Notamacropus eugenii: one gene and its partner. Each later gene encodes a partner of the first gene's protein in a complex. Links are inferred from orthologs where the notes say so. Each region holds a gene or a part of one and is shown in the gene's direction. Other genes may lie near its edges.

What was found. Proteins that work in one complex are often made in the same cells at the same time.
Region 2: STRIP2 (region 1) and STK25 share a complex: the UniProt entries of both Homo sapiens proteins name them as parts of the core of STRIPAK complex. The link is inferred for Notamacropus eugenii from reciprocal best matches to the Homo sapiens genes STRIP2 and STK25.

What each region holds. Positions count from the first base shown.
Region 1 is NC_092874.1:120,780,465-120,787,948, reverse strand, and holds the start of STRIP2 (striatin-interacting protein 2), read left to right. Parts: upstream 1-4,392; 5' UTR 4,393-4,407; coding exon 4,408-4,667; intron 4,668-7,484. UniProt on the Homo sapiens protein: Plays a role in the regulation of cell morphology and cytoskeletal organization. Required in the control of cell shape. Calmodulin-binding scaffolding protein which is the center of the striatin-interacting phosphatase and kinase (STRIPAK) complexes.
Region 2 is NC_092877.1:378,497,990-378,505,027, reverse strand, and holds the start of STK25 (serine/threonine-protein kinase 25), read left to right. Parts: upstream 1-3,953; 5' UTR 3,954-4,262; intron 4,263-4,748; 5' UTR 4,749-4,796; coding exon 4,797-4,826; intron 4,827-6,990; exon of another isoform or gene 6,991-7,038. UniProt on the Homo sapiens protein: Oxidant stress-activated serine/threonine kinase that may play a role in the response to environmental stress.

The sequences.
Region 1 (7,484 bases):
TTAAAATGAGGAGGGTATTATATATTACACTACTATTATACTACTAGGTAGTATAATTGTCCACCTTTAACAAATGTAGAGGGCCAACTAGGTAGCCCAGTGGATAGACTGCCACACCTGGAGTCAGGGAAGGTTCATCATCCTGAGTTCAAAACTGGCTTCAGACACTTAACCAGCTGTGTGACCCTGGGTAAGTCACTTAACTTTATTTGTCTCAGTTTCCTGATCTGCAAAATGAACTAGAGAAGGAAATGGCAAACCACTCCTGCATCTCGACTAAAAAGTAGGATCACAAAGAGTCAGGCATGACTGCAACAACTGAACAACAAGCAAATGGAGAAACTGAGGCTGTGAGATCCTTTGTGGAATATAGAACTGGAATGACCATAGAGGTCATTTAGTGTAATCTTATTGTACAAATGAAGTGATAGATGTTTCCCAGTTGAGGCTGTGACTTGTCCACAGTTAGCAGTGGTGGGATCAGAACCCAAATCCCCTCAATCCAAACCTAAGGCTCTTCTACAGCAGGGATGCAAAGTGACTTGTCTAACTACACACAGTTAGTGGAAGAGCTGGGAGTGGAACTCAGATTTTCCTACTCTCAAGTCCAGTGCTCTTTCCACCAAGAAGACTAGGTTTCCTTTCTGTTTAACAGATAGGACACTTCGGGTGTGCAGGAAAAAGGGTTACTAGAATTGATGACCTCATTCTACTATCTGCCCCACTACTGATCAGTTCTGCAGGTAGAAAAGAACACAGAGCTCTGGGAGTCGTCGATCCTGACTAGCGTTCTCACCCCAGGAGAACAGAAGAAATGGGGGGGAAGGAAGGCAGAATAATTAGTTCTTTAATAAGAGGCACTCGTGGGTTGTGCTGTGGCAGGTTTTTCACATTGAGTGGGGTTGGGCGTGGGCTGTGTCCTGTCCCTCAACACCCTCCCTTTTTTTCCCTCACAATGAATTGTAAAGCAAAGTTTGGCTCCTGGAATCTGACTTATTTAACAGAAAGAAAAAATAGACAAAAATCAAAGCTTTGGCCTTGAGCCTGGTGCTTCCTTAGAAATCATGGCCTAGTCTATGAAAGAAAGGTGTGGAGAGAAAAGAGAGGGAGGAAAAAGAGGAAAAGAGAAGAAGGGGGAGGAGAAGGGAACACAGCTGTTTCCCAGGGATGGTAGCTCTTGTCTGTTCTTTGATACCACTCTCCCCCTTTATCTGTATTCTTCCACTGTTCTGCAGGAAAAAGGAAGAAGGAAGGAAGGAAGAGAAAGGGAGGGAAAGAGTCATTGCTGATCCAAGGGCATGGCCCATAGAAAGACATTGGGTTGGATCCTAGGCTTTTACTTTTACATCCCATTCAGTTATCCACTCAAGGCACATTGATACATACATACATATACTCACAAACACATACATGCGTACACATCTTCTACATTCCTCCATCCCACTTTCCACCTCCTCCTCTGGGTACAGTAATGAATGAATATTGCCCTATGGATCAACTCTCCAACCAAAACCAAAACTTCTTTCTTTGGTCCTCTATTCCCCTATATGTGATATTTTCCCTATTAGAATGTAAACTTTAAACCAGGGACTATTTTTCCTTAGGCATTTGTATTTCAAGAGATTTTTAGCACAGTGCCAGTGCTAAATATTGATAAATTTTTTTCATTCTTTCATTCTTTGCCATATTACTTATGGAGAGGGAGTGGCAGAGAAGAGTTTTGGGGGTGGAGGAGGTGTTAGAGCTTAAAAGAAATAGACAAGAAACTAAGATATACAATTAACCAAAGCAAAATGGCATGACCGTCCCTCCTTCAAATATCACCACGAACTTCCTTTGATCTATGTGGTTTATGAATTTGAATCAGAGAATCTCTGCATTGGAAGGTACCTTAAATATCTCATGGCTCAATTCTCTTTCTACAAGAATTCCTTCACAACTTCTGCTTAAATTTGCCTAGTTCAGGGAAATTCACTACCTACCAAGGCAAGACTGAATAGCTCTTGGTACTACTGAATAGGTTCAATAGGTTGGTGACCTATTGAGAGTAGCCCTAAAGGAGCTATGGGAAGACAGGCTTTCTAATTCAGGGCTGATAGAGCTGTGAATTGGCTCAATTGTTCTAAAAGACTATTGGGATTATGAAAGAAAAATTATTAAATTACTCATATGCTGATCTAGAGATCCCACTAGTATGTTAATAAAGCAAAAAAAAAAACCCATCACTCAAATATTTAAAAATATTCATGGCTGCATTATTTATAATAATAATCTGAAAACAAAATACATTCCCTAGCCTCACTTGGGAACAACTATATAAACTGAAAAATATACAGTATTATTGTTTTAGAAAGAACAATGAATCTGGAGATTTCAAAGAAATATGGGAAAATGTGAACTGAGGCAAAATGAAGACAATGGAACTATATATAAACCTATATATGTGTGTGTATGTAGTTCCATTTTATGCATAAGTATGCGTGTGTATATGTATGCAAGTGCTCCAGAATTTGTAGACAACACGAAAAGTCAACAAAACTCTATTGAAAGATCCCACTATCTATCAGGATGTATCCTGTTAATAATCAGTAAGCTATAAAGGCCAAAAGTTAGGCTTAGTAATTAGTCAAATCACTCAGGAGGTTCTGTTTAATAATTTTCAGGAAATGCACTGTGGAGAAAGAAGGTTGTTTGAATGTTGGTGGATATATTCTTTTATATCAAAGCAAAATGTGTCTGTAATAGAGGTAATCAGGGGAACCCTGCCCTGATCCACTCTGGCAGGAGTATTTCCCATAGAACTGAGCCCTATGATTGGGTCTTTTCTGATAATAGGTGCCCTAGCCTCTTGCTGAAGGTCACTTTCAAACAGAGGTTCCTGGTTGAGCTTTTGGTCCCCATGATAGAATTTGAGGGGGAAAGGGCAAAGAGCACTGGTCACTGAACAGGAAGAGCTACTTAGCAGACTTCCAAGTAAGGGAAAATTTCTGCTATTTCTCTCTTCTTGTCTGTCAAGCATGTCAAAACTCTTTAAGCTTTCTCTATGACTCCCATCAACTTGAGTATGGAGTTTCTCTAAAAATATGGCAGTAAGTACATGCGCCTCTCTGGATGAGCCTCTGGTTACCTCTTCTGCTTTGTGTTTCTTTCTTAGAGCACAGGTGACTGACTAGCTATCCTGAGTTCAATGTTTCTAACCTCATCAAGAACCTCATCATGAGTTTCAGAGGTTGGGAGCTTCTGAATCCACATGCTAGTTGCTCTGCAAGTGATCTCAGCAACATCTTGGAGGAGAAAAATGATCACGGCCAGGAGAATGAACAAAAGCCATGCCTCAGCCTGCCAGAGGATATAGACCTTAAGTCAGTGAAGATCCAAGGTGAAAGTATCTGCTCAGCAGTCCTACAAAATGTTTCCTGTTTTAATAATGTAAGCATCTTCCTCCTGGGAGAATCTAAGAGGAGTGATGAATTATTGTATCTTGCTTTAAATATTTGTCAATATGCACTGAAGAGCCTTCTGGGTTTCAAGCATTTCTTTTGTGGTAGAAATAAATAGCTGTCCTATAGCAGATCTACTTAGTAATTGTAGAATTTGAAAATTGGAAAGGACCTCAGTTGCCATCTGGTGCAACCCATAAATGAAGGAATCTCTGCTATAATGTACCTGACAAGTATTGTAATCATTCAGCCTCTGCTGGAAGACTTCCAAAGAAGGGGAACCCACTTCCCCTGGAAACAAGCTATTCTACTTTTAGGTGGCTCTCACTGTTAGCAGGATTCTCCTGATATTTGCCTGTGCAATTTCATTGCTCCTGGTTGTGCACTTTGAGGCCAAAACTATACTAATCCTTCCTCCACATAGGTCCTTTACTTGAAGAAGACCCACCAGACTTCTTTTGTCCAGGCTAAACAGGCTCAGTTCTTTCTAGAGAACAAGTACATAGGTGAGAGGAGGGTAAGGAAAGGTGGTTTGGAAGCTAATTGGCTGTGTGACCTTGGGCTTCCCATCCCAGAACCCCAATTTACTGATCTGTAAAGAGGTTGTACTAGATGTTCCCTCAGGTCCTTCTTTGCAGGAAAGAATAGGAGAGGAAGAGACACCTGAAGGAGTCACTGAAAGATGCTTACTTGAAAAGATCATTTACAGCTGGGCTGGGGGAGGGAAGTGACAGTTTACAATTTCTCTCATATTTAGAGTTTAGAAAAACTGAGGCTGAAATCTGGGAATGGTTGGCCAAGGACGCAGAGGCCTAGAGGTCGGGTGGTACTTGGAGGAGCCGAAGTACCCTAGCCCGAGGCTAAACAACTCAAAAAGCTGAATGAGCCCCAACCTCCGCCCCGAACATCCAGACAACGAATCCCACCTTGGGGTGGAGCTGCTAGTTGGTTGCCTTGGCCAATAGAGATGAGGGGCGGGGTCTGGGGGGCGTCCCGGGGTGTGTGTGTCGGGAGGAAGGTTCCCCTGGGTTTACGGCTGCCCTGCCAGCCTCTGGCAGAGCGGGCTGAGCAGTCGCGGGGAGCTGCATGGAGGACCCCAACGGCGCCGGGCTCGGGGCTGGCAGCCCACCTGGGAACGGTAGCGGCAGCGGAGGAGGAGGCAACAAGGGAAAGCAGGCGTCGCCCAAGGGCCGGGAAATGTTCAAGAACCAGCGGAGGGAGTCCGAGGTGGGCATGTTTTGTGCCGGGGAAGGGAAGAGGCTGGGGTTGCTGTGGTGAGGGGCGAAGTTAGAGTGAGCCTGCACGGACCGCGGCACCGTAACTGGAGAGGCAGGCCCTCACTCCCGGGGATCCCTGACTCCTCCCCCGTAGATAGTGGAATCCAAAAGATGTGAAGCCGGATTAAGGCACCTTGGAAGTAGTCTAAGCCTCTCCTTTTACAGATCAGGAAACCAAGGCCCAGGAGATTAAGTCCACAGTCACACTGGAGTAGGAAGCAGAGCTAGGGCTCTGAATCCAAGTCCAGTATACTTGGTTAAGCTGGGTGTTGAACCCAGGCCACTTGACTGATGGAATCCCGGGCTTCCCTCTTCATTCTTGCCAGGGATGGGTCCTCAGTTTCCCTTATGTTCCTGATGACCTAGCCAATATTACTTCAGCCCCTGGACAGCTGATGTAGACTGGTTAATGCAGCTGAGAGGTTTACATTTGCTCTAGTACTGCTCCTTTCTAAATACTCATAGCTGGGACCCTTTGTGTGACCAGAGAGGAACCTGAGAAAGGGACAGACTGGGGTGCCTTGCCTGACCCTTCTCCATATTGGCTCTTCCCCTATTTCTTAGTTTTATTCTCAGTGCCACGTGGAATGGTAGAAAAAAAGAGGCAGGAGACCCTAGGTGTGCTGCTGCTTCCTTTTGTGACCTTGGACAAATCCTCCTGCTGTTTCCCCCAACTGTAAAATGAAGAGCATTGGGTTAGATCATCTGATCCCTCCCAGCTCTAAAATTCTGAGTCAAGAAGACTTTTATGTCTTGCACATAAAAGCATTCGGTTGACGTTGGTTGAGTGAATGAACCAACAATTGGCTAGACCTGAAGGTCTTTACCGGGGTTACTGCTCCATTCTGTCTTGCTCTTTAAGAGTTGCTGGCCGGAGTACCTGGCAGGAGTATTTGCTGACCAGGTTTTTTCACTTCTCCTCAAACAGAATTCTCAGTGAAATGGTGAATAGGCTGGGTGGAGGGAATAGGTTGGATCTGGGAAGTTGAATTCACTGTTTCTTCAGCCCTAGTCCAAAAGAAAGACCAAGCTTCCTTCCCCCAGGGCTTAATGGATCTTAGCTGGTCCTGAATGACTGTAGTCCTTTCCCACTAAAAATGGCCGCTTAAAAGAACCTATACAGTTAATCCTTTTTTCTAGGTAGACTTAAGGGCTCCTCACAAGCAGATGGTAAACCTTGGGCTAAAGAATGCCCCTCCTCTTTGTGGCTGTGGGAGTAGGGAAATAGGAACTAAGAGAGGGAAAAGCACTTGGCCATAATCATGCTGGTGGCATGCTCCTAGGAGAGTGTCAGGTTAGAGCCCAGGAGTCCGGGACTCTCCAGGATCCTGCTATCTATCAGTCTTATGCTTTTTGAAGAGGCAGTGACCCCAGACCTCTTCAGCAAGAGACTCTGGTAGCTTTGCTCTGAGCAGCCGGTGTGGTTTGTGCAGGATCCCTCCCTCCTGCCTGCACAGAGCAGCAGCTTCACCCGTCTGCCTGGGGCTGCATCTTCATTTTTTTCATTCCTGCTCTCCCTGTTCTGAAACTTATTGCTAACAGGATCATCTCAGTGTTCGTTTCCTGCCAACACACTGTCCTACAAAATTAGCTCTCCCCCACCTCTGCAAGTCAGAGAAGCTGCCTTTCCCTATCAGTGTGTCCCCCATCACCAGTGTGCCTAGGTGCCAGTTATGATGACTGTTCACCTTCAGATCTCTCCTTGCTTTTCCTGGTATGTTGGGAGTGAACAGCCCTTAGGAGACAGAGGTTTCTCTTTGGGTCCTAGAGCTCCTCTCTGGATGATTACTGTAGGCAGAAGGAGAAGGCTAACCTATGTCTAAGAAGACAAGGGAAAAAAGAAAAGTCTTTTAGACTGCTAAGTATATTGGGACAAGATTTGCCTAGTTCTTCCTTATTAAGCCCCCCCAGAAGCATCCTGAGACACTCACATCCATCCATCCATCAGCAGCTCTGCTTGGTTTGGATGCCACCGAATATGATGCCCTTACACCATGTGCCCTCCAGTCCCTCCCACCCCATTTATCTTTCTCCACTTGATTGTAAGCTCCCTGAGGTCAGAGACTGGCTTTTTCTTATTTGTATCCGTAGTGCCTGGCACATAGTAGATGCTTAATAAATGTTTATTGAATATAATTGAGAGAGTCTTGCATCACTGTACGCAAAAGAATGTCATTTGACCATCTCTCATATCCATCCCCACAATGATGTGATGAATGATGAAACATTGACTAGGCAGGGACATAATTTGACTATTTCTCTCCTCCTCCCCATCTAATGGTACAATGAGTTTATAGGAATATGGACTTTAGAATCTGAAGAAGACCTTTGATGATTTGGTCACACAGGGTGATTTGACATCTTCATCCCTAGAAGGAATGTCCACATTGATAAGAAAAGTCTGTTGGAATGTGGGACTTAATAACTTTATAAAAATATTTTTCTTTATGATCAACTTCACACAGGCTCCTTTTAATCAGTTTCCATTATACGTTCAATAGAGTCACTGATTGTTAGAGCCAGAAGGAATCATTCAGTTCAACCCCCTCATTTTACAAATCAGGTCATTGAGGCCTGGAAAGAAAAACTTGTCTAAGGTTTCACACTGAGTTTTTGGCAGAATCAAGACTAGAATCGAGGCTTTCTGACTTGCCAAGATGGCTTCTTTGAAAAGTTTTTTTTTTTTAAACATAGGTGCATTGTTTACCCAGGCTGCCTTTGCAGAAGCAAATAAATGGTTCAGGGGATAGAGCCCTGGTCCTGAAGT
Region 2 (7,038 bases), on another chromosome or scaffold:
GGGCTAATAGAAATGGGCAAGGCCTTACATGTTCTCTGGCCTTACTTGTTGCTCTTTCTCATCTGCTGAACTATTAGCAAGTGGAAACTGGAAAAGTGTGGCTGGGCCAACAGCCTCCAATTCAGCACCATAAGCATCTCATAATTTCTCTGTGTGCCAGGCTCTGGAGACACAAAATGTCTTTGACCTGAAGAAGCTTACAGTCCAGGTACTACGTGGTAAAGAAAGGGGGTGGGTGGGTGTGCATGTGTGTGCATGAGCATGCAGTGAAACCATATTAAAAAACATGAAAACTCTGAATAATGCAATCATTCAATGAGGATGGGGGTGAGGAGGGAGAACAAACATTTACTAAGCACCTCCAATATGCTAACAGCTTGATAAACATGATCTCATGTGACAGGGCACTGGCCTGGGAGTAAGGAGGCCCTGAGTTCACAAACTATCTCTGACACCGATGAGCAATGCACCTCACCTTAGCTCACCTCGAGAACCTGTTTCCTCATCAGTAAAATGAGGGGCTGGACCCCATAGTATCTCAGGTCCCTTCCAGCCCCAATCTTTAATTAAATGGATCCTTCATGCCAGACTTGCTGGGTTCTGGGGCTACAAAAGCCAAATGCTTCCTGTTCTCAGGGAGTTTACATCCTAATAAATACAGACAAGAATTTCCAGGGTAGAAGAGACTAGCAGCTGGAAAATCAGAGAGAGCCCTCAAATAAGCAGCAGTGTTTGAACCAAATGAATCCCTGACTTAGACAGGCAAGGCCATATTGTAAACAAATTAGAGGAATAAGGAAGAAATTTCCTTTCAGATCTATGAACAGGGGAAAGGTTAATGACTGAGCTAGGAGAAAGAAAATCACAGAAATTAAAATGGTCAATTTTTATTAAACTTTAAAAGTTTTTTTTTTATAGAAACAAAACCAGTATAGCTACAATTGGAAAGGAAACAGTTAACTGGGAAAAACATTTGCAGTAAATTTATCTGATAAAGGCTTCATTTCCAAGATATATAAGGAATTTATCCATATTTATAAGAATAAGAGCCATTCTCCAACGAATAAATGGCCAAAGAATTTGGAGAGGCAGCTGTCAAAGGTAGAAATCCCAACTATGTTTACAGCCATGTGAAAAAATGTTCCAAATCACCAACAATTGTAGAATGCAAATTAAGGCCCCTCTGAGGTTCTGCTTTTTACCCATCAGGTGGGCAAAGTGGCAAAAAGGGAACATGACAAATGCTGGGGCATCCAGGCCCACGGAGGCACTGTTTTCCTGTATATCAGTAGAAGCCTGCTGCAACTGTGAGTTGTTCCAACCATTCTGGAAAGTAATTCGGAATTATGCCAGAAAAATCATGAACACCCTTAACTCCAGCCTTATTGCTGCTAAGTCTGCTTCCTGCTCACGTAAAAACATCAAAGACAGAAGGAAAGGACCTATGTGTACAAAGGTGTTAGGAGAGGCCTGTTTCATGGTAGCAAAGAACTGGAAACTAGGGTGGGGGTGTCCATCCATTTGGGGGGAAAGGCTAAGTCATTAGGGTATGTGAAGGTGATGGAATACTAACTATTGTGCGGTAGGGAATGAGTGACAGAAGGTACCCTTTCAGAGAAACCTGGGAAGACTTGTATGGACAGAGGCAGAGGAGAGGGAGTAGAAACATGACAGCATGGTAAAGATACATAATTTTGAAAGCCTGGAGAACTGTGCTCAACACATGAACCAACCACAATTCTAGAGGCCCCCAAATGCATCACACCAGACACCTACCGAGGCAGTGGCCTCAGGATGCATGTTGGAATATGGCTTTTTTGGACATGTCCACTACAGGGATTTGTTGTGCTTGACTCTGCATATTTGTTCAAAGGATGGAGTTTTTCTTTCTTTTTCAGTGGGTGGAGGAGAAAATACATTTTTTGTTCATTGAAAATAAATTTAAAAACTAGGATTTATGAGTCTGAGACTCTTGCATATACTACTGCACAGGGAAAACAAATGCTTGTTAATTGAAAAATTAAATAAAATTTAAAAACACAACAGGAGCCAAGTGTGGAGCCGCCGTGCCTGTCACCCCGTATCCACATCACTCTGTTTTCTTCCACCATGTCACCTCAAACTCTCCACCACCCAGCTGGACCATCCTCTGAAAGTGCTGGGGATAGCCACCCAGCGGTCCCAGACTATCTGCCCTTTCTCAAGGAGTTTAGCATCTGTCTTGTGAACTCTGCCCTTCCCCTTGTACCCTTGATCTCCCCATCATCCTTCCATGGTCCATCTCCCTGAACAAGAACTCTGAAATTCTTCTGCCTGCCCTCCCGCCTTGCTTTGTATCCTCCCTTTGACTTGGTCTTCACCCTCCATCCAATCATTCTTCCCCTCCTTGCTGAACCAGGGAGATAGACCTACCCCCGCCCGCACCCCACCATGATTGCTTCACTTTCCCATCTTATTCAATAAAGTTCTGAGTTCAAATCCGGCTCCAAGCATTTTCAAATTGTGTGACGCTGGGCAAGTCACTCAGCTCCTGCCTGCCTCAGTTTCCCTCAACTGTAAACTCAGGATGATCACAGCCCGTCCCTCAGAGGACTGTCAGGAGGCGGTGCAAACCTCGGAGCGCAGGGCGTGGATAAATCGGAATTGCTCTGACTTTCCGTCCCTCCCTCCCGGTGGGCTCCTGCCCTGACGCCTGCACGCAAGCCCGGGTCTCTCCCTGTCCCCCCATCCCTGCTCCCCTTCACAGCCTCACTCCCGCAGGATCCGTCCTCTCCTCCCGCCTCCTTCCCAGGGCTTCCAGGCCGAAACAGCTCTTCACAAGGCCACCCCCAGCCTGCTCCCTCCCGATGTCCCCCCTTCTTCCTGGAGTCTCCTCCTGCCAAGCGAGGTTTCTGGGACTCTCTGACCCTCCCGCCCGGCGCTCCTCCTACCTGCCGGGCTGCTCCTCCTCAGGCCGGCGCACCTGGACCCCCGGGCATGCTCCTCCTACCTGCCGGGCTGCTCCTCCTACCTGCCGGGCTGCTCCTCCTACCTGCCGGGCTGCTCCTCCTACCTGCCGGGCTGCTCCTCCTACCTGCCGGGCTGCTCCTCCTCAGGCCGGCGCTCCTGCACCCCCGGGCATGCTCCCCGCTCGGAGCCCGGCCCTGGGCCCGCCCCTCGAGGCGTCCGCAGGGGGCTGTCCCCCTCAGTCCCCCCAGGAGGTCCCCGCTCCCCGGCCTGGAGAGCCGATGGCTCGAGGCTTGACTCCCCCCTGCCCTCCGCCCCCAGCACTGCAGAGGGTCCCGCTCCCCTGGGGGTCACCTGCCGGGAGGCCCCCGCGCCGGGGGGCGCGGGCCAGGGGAGGGTCACGGGTGACCGCGCTCGTCACGTGGGGCCTCCTCTGTGAAAGGGGGCGAGGTCGGACCCCAGGCTCCAGGCCCCCCAGCTCTAGCTCCGGGATCTCCCGGCTCTCCTCCGCCCCTGGCCAGGGGGCGCCGCACCTGGGGAGACGGGCGTGCCAGGACCCACCTGCAAGCAGCCCCGCCCCCAAACAGCGGCCACTCTGGGGGGCCGCCCAGAAGCCCCCCAAGACCGACCTGGGGATGGAGAAAAGGAGAAGGGGGAGGGCGGAGGGCACTGTCGGGGGCCGAGGCCTTCCCTCTCACTGCCCCTCACCGGACCAGGTTTGGGGGCCCGGCAGAAGCTCTGCGGGCTGACAGGGGTCACGCTCCACGGTTCCTCCCATCCCCCGCCCCCAGTCTTCCTCCGCGCTAAGCCTCCTGGGATTTGGAGTCCTCGCCCCCCTCCCAGAGGCTCCTCGAGGAAATGCCGAAGCCCAACCAGCCTTTATCGCCGCTGCCGCCTGAGGCCCTGCCCGGAGGCCCCGCCCATTTCCCAAGGGACGTCAGGGAGCCGGAGTGCCCCCTCCCCCAGCATCAGGAGCAGGGCTTCGGGAAGCGGGACTACAACTCCCAGAAGGCAACGGGACGCCCGCGACTGCGCAGTGGCTCTCCCATCTCTGCCCCCACCCCCTCCTCGCTCCTCCGCCGCCCTGGCTTTCTCTATCTCCAGACGCCGCGGGAGCCGGACCGGAGCCGGAGCCCGAGTCCGAGCCGAGCCCGAGCCGAACCCGAGCCGAGCCCGAGCCGGAGCCGCGTCTGGGGTCGGGCCGCAGCTGCTCCCGTCACTGTCAGGCGCTGCGGGCGAGGCCCAGGGCGGTCATGGAGACCCCCGGAGGCGGGGCGCGCTGAGGCCTGGGGCCCCCCGGGGGCGCCTCAGTCCAGGTACGGGGAGGGAGGAGCCAGAGGGGGGATGGGAAAGGGCTGGGGGCGGGGTAGGAGGGGGGTTGGGGGAGAGAGCGGTGCCGGGTGGGGGTGGGGGAAGGGCCGGAGAGAGGGAGGCGGGCGTTGGTGCAGGGAGGGGGGGAGGGGAGACCAGGTGTGGGGGAGGGGCCGGGAGGGAGGGAAAGGAGGGGGCTACGCGCCCCAGGGAGTCTAGCCTGGTCTGGAGGGGAGGGGGCGGGACCAGCCCAAGGTCACCTTTCCGTCAGTAGGTTGGGGGGGCCCAGCTGTCTGTGCTGCTGGTTCCGATTCTGGGGTGCAGCAGGACTGGGGGAGGGGCAGCCCTGAGAGGTGGGGGGGCCCAGGCTTGGAGTCCGGGGGAGGGGGAGGTGCCGGACCTCCCCCATCTGGGCCGGGCCGGGCCGGGCCGGCCGCCCTGTGCGCCCCTCGGACCCCGAAACCCCGTGTCTTGGTCTGCGCGGATCACAGGTGACGAGCCGCGGATTGGACCGGGCTGGCGGCGGTTGGCCGGGAGACATGGCTCACCTGAGGGACTTCGCTCAGCAGGTAAGGGCTGGGCGGGGTGGGATCGCTGGCGAGATCGTGGGGCAGGATCGTGGGCAGGGTTGCGGGGCAGGATCGTGGGGCAGGATCTCGGGCAGGCGGGATTGCGGGCGGGATCCTGGGCAGGGTTGCGGGGCAGGATCGCGGGCGGGATCGTGGGGCAGGATCGCGGGCGGGCGGGATCGCGGGCGGGATTGTGGGCAGGGTTGCGGGGCAGGATCGCGGGCGGGATCGTGGGCAGGGTTGCGGGGCAGGATCGCGGACCGCAGCACGCCGCTACCCGACCCGAAACAGGGCAGACTGCCCGCCGGACCCCTCGCCCCTCGCCTCCCCCACGCCACGGTGCCACCCGCAAGTTTAGAATTCCCCTGGTCAGTAAAGGGCATCCGCGGGGTCCATCTCTCCTGAGCGCCACGAAGAGAGGCGTGCCAGTGGGCAGGACACCTTCGGAGAGTGGTTATCAGGTGCAATCTCATCTTTTACGCGACTGCTACCTGGTGGGAAGGAATCAAACTTGGGGTGGGCTCTGTTGGCGTCCAGGGGACCCCGGCAGAAATTGAACCCGCGTCTGGGGAGGGGGGACTAGCACACCAAAGGACCGTGGCTAAGTGTGGGGAATGCCAGGAGCCTGGGGTTCTCAGTCCTAGGGCGCTGCTGAGTGGGCCAGCCATCCCCCTGTCTGGGGCCAGGTAGCGATTCTCAAGGGTCCCAGTCTTCTTCCCTGTGGCTCCTCAGAGCAGGGACAGCACCTTGACATTTGGGGAGATTCTTTTGTGAGCCATGCGTGACTATCCCCTTGTGCTTTCTCGGTGTGTATGGTTCAAGTGAGCTGCTTGAGCATTTCTGCTGCAGAAACTTCTGGGAAGGGGCCCTCGGCTGGGGAGCCACCCTTCTCTGGAGGTGGGACAAAAGCTGCCCTTTGCTTTTGGCTGCCCTGCGACTAGCGCCCAGATCATGTTTGTGCTTTGTCTGAACAAAACTGATCATACAAGGAGGTTGACTTAGGTGAGAGCAAAGAAGGTCAGTGGAGGTAGTCGTTGGAGATAGGTAGAAATGCATTTTGACTGTCAATTGGAGGACACTTTTTTAGTTAAACATATTATTTTTAAAACTGTGAGTTTAGAAAGAGTTGCTGAGTCCTTTTAAGAGAAGAAAAAATAGGGTGGAATGATTGTGCCCACAGGTACAGAGAGGTTAAGAGAAGCCTTGTAGTCCCCTAGGGTAATTGTGTGGCGCTGAAATGAAAGGACAGATGTCACTGGGCCTGGCCTGGTGATAATGCCAGCTGCGACTGCAGGTGGGGCCTTGGAGGGAGTGCTGACCTGACATCTTGGATTCGTCTGCAGAGCAGTGGTGCGCTGTGGAACTTATCCCCTCATACGTGTGAATGGGGCTCCAGCCGTGAAGAGTGTTGGGGTCTGTGAGCAGAGGAGGCAGAAAGAAGCGCTCCCCACTCGTTAGTCCCTTTGGCAGCTTGAATTCTGGGTACTGCTCAGGGCTGAGGGCCCAGGAGTAGACCTAGCACTGCCTCAGGTGGGGCTGGGCCCTCAAGAGCCTTGAGCAGCTACCAGGTGTGGGCACCTCAGAAACTCCTTCCACACACTGTCTGTTCCAGACAGAATTACAGTGCAACTGATGCTTCAGGTGAAGGCATGTAGAACCAGGAGCCTGGGGAGTGGCCCACCCCTCACACCCCGCAGTTCATGATGACAGGCCCTTTAGAAGAGCAAGGAAGCCCAGAGTGTCCTCAGTGGGCTAGACATAGTCCTACAGTGAAATCTAGGAGGCAGCTAGGGATCCAGCAGGGATGACCTGGTGGGACCAGGACTTTTGAGGTCTTTTCCACCTCTGACTCTGTGCTGTCTCAGCAAAGTCCTCTCTTCTGTGGCAGCCAGGCCAGCTCCCAGAGGAATAAGCAACCTGGCCCCTGGCGCCCCCCAACACAGCCATCCTTGGGACCCTGCTGGTCTTGCTGGCCACAGGCCTGTTGGGGTGACTTGTTCCATCAGCCCCTCTCAGGCACAGGGTCATGACTTCTGGATTGGCCAAAACTAACATATGGTGACCCTTTTCACTTGCACCTGACTCAATCTTCTCTCTCCTTCAGTGTTCACCTCTGCCCTCCAGTTGTTTTTCTGAACCATTGGATCCTCACTGCTTGGTTTATTTTTCAGTATGTGGTTTCATTTTATTTTCATTTCCAAATTCTCCCCTT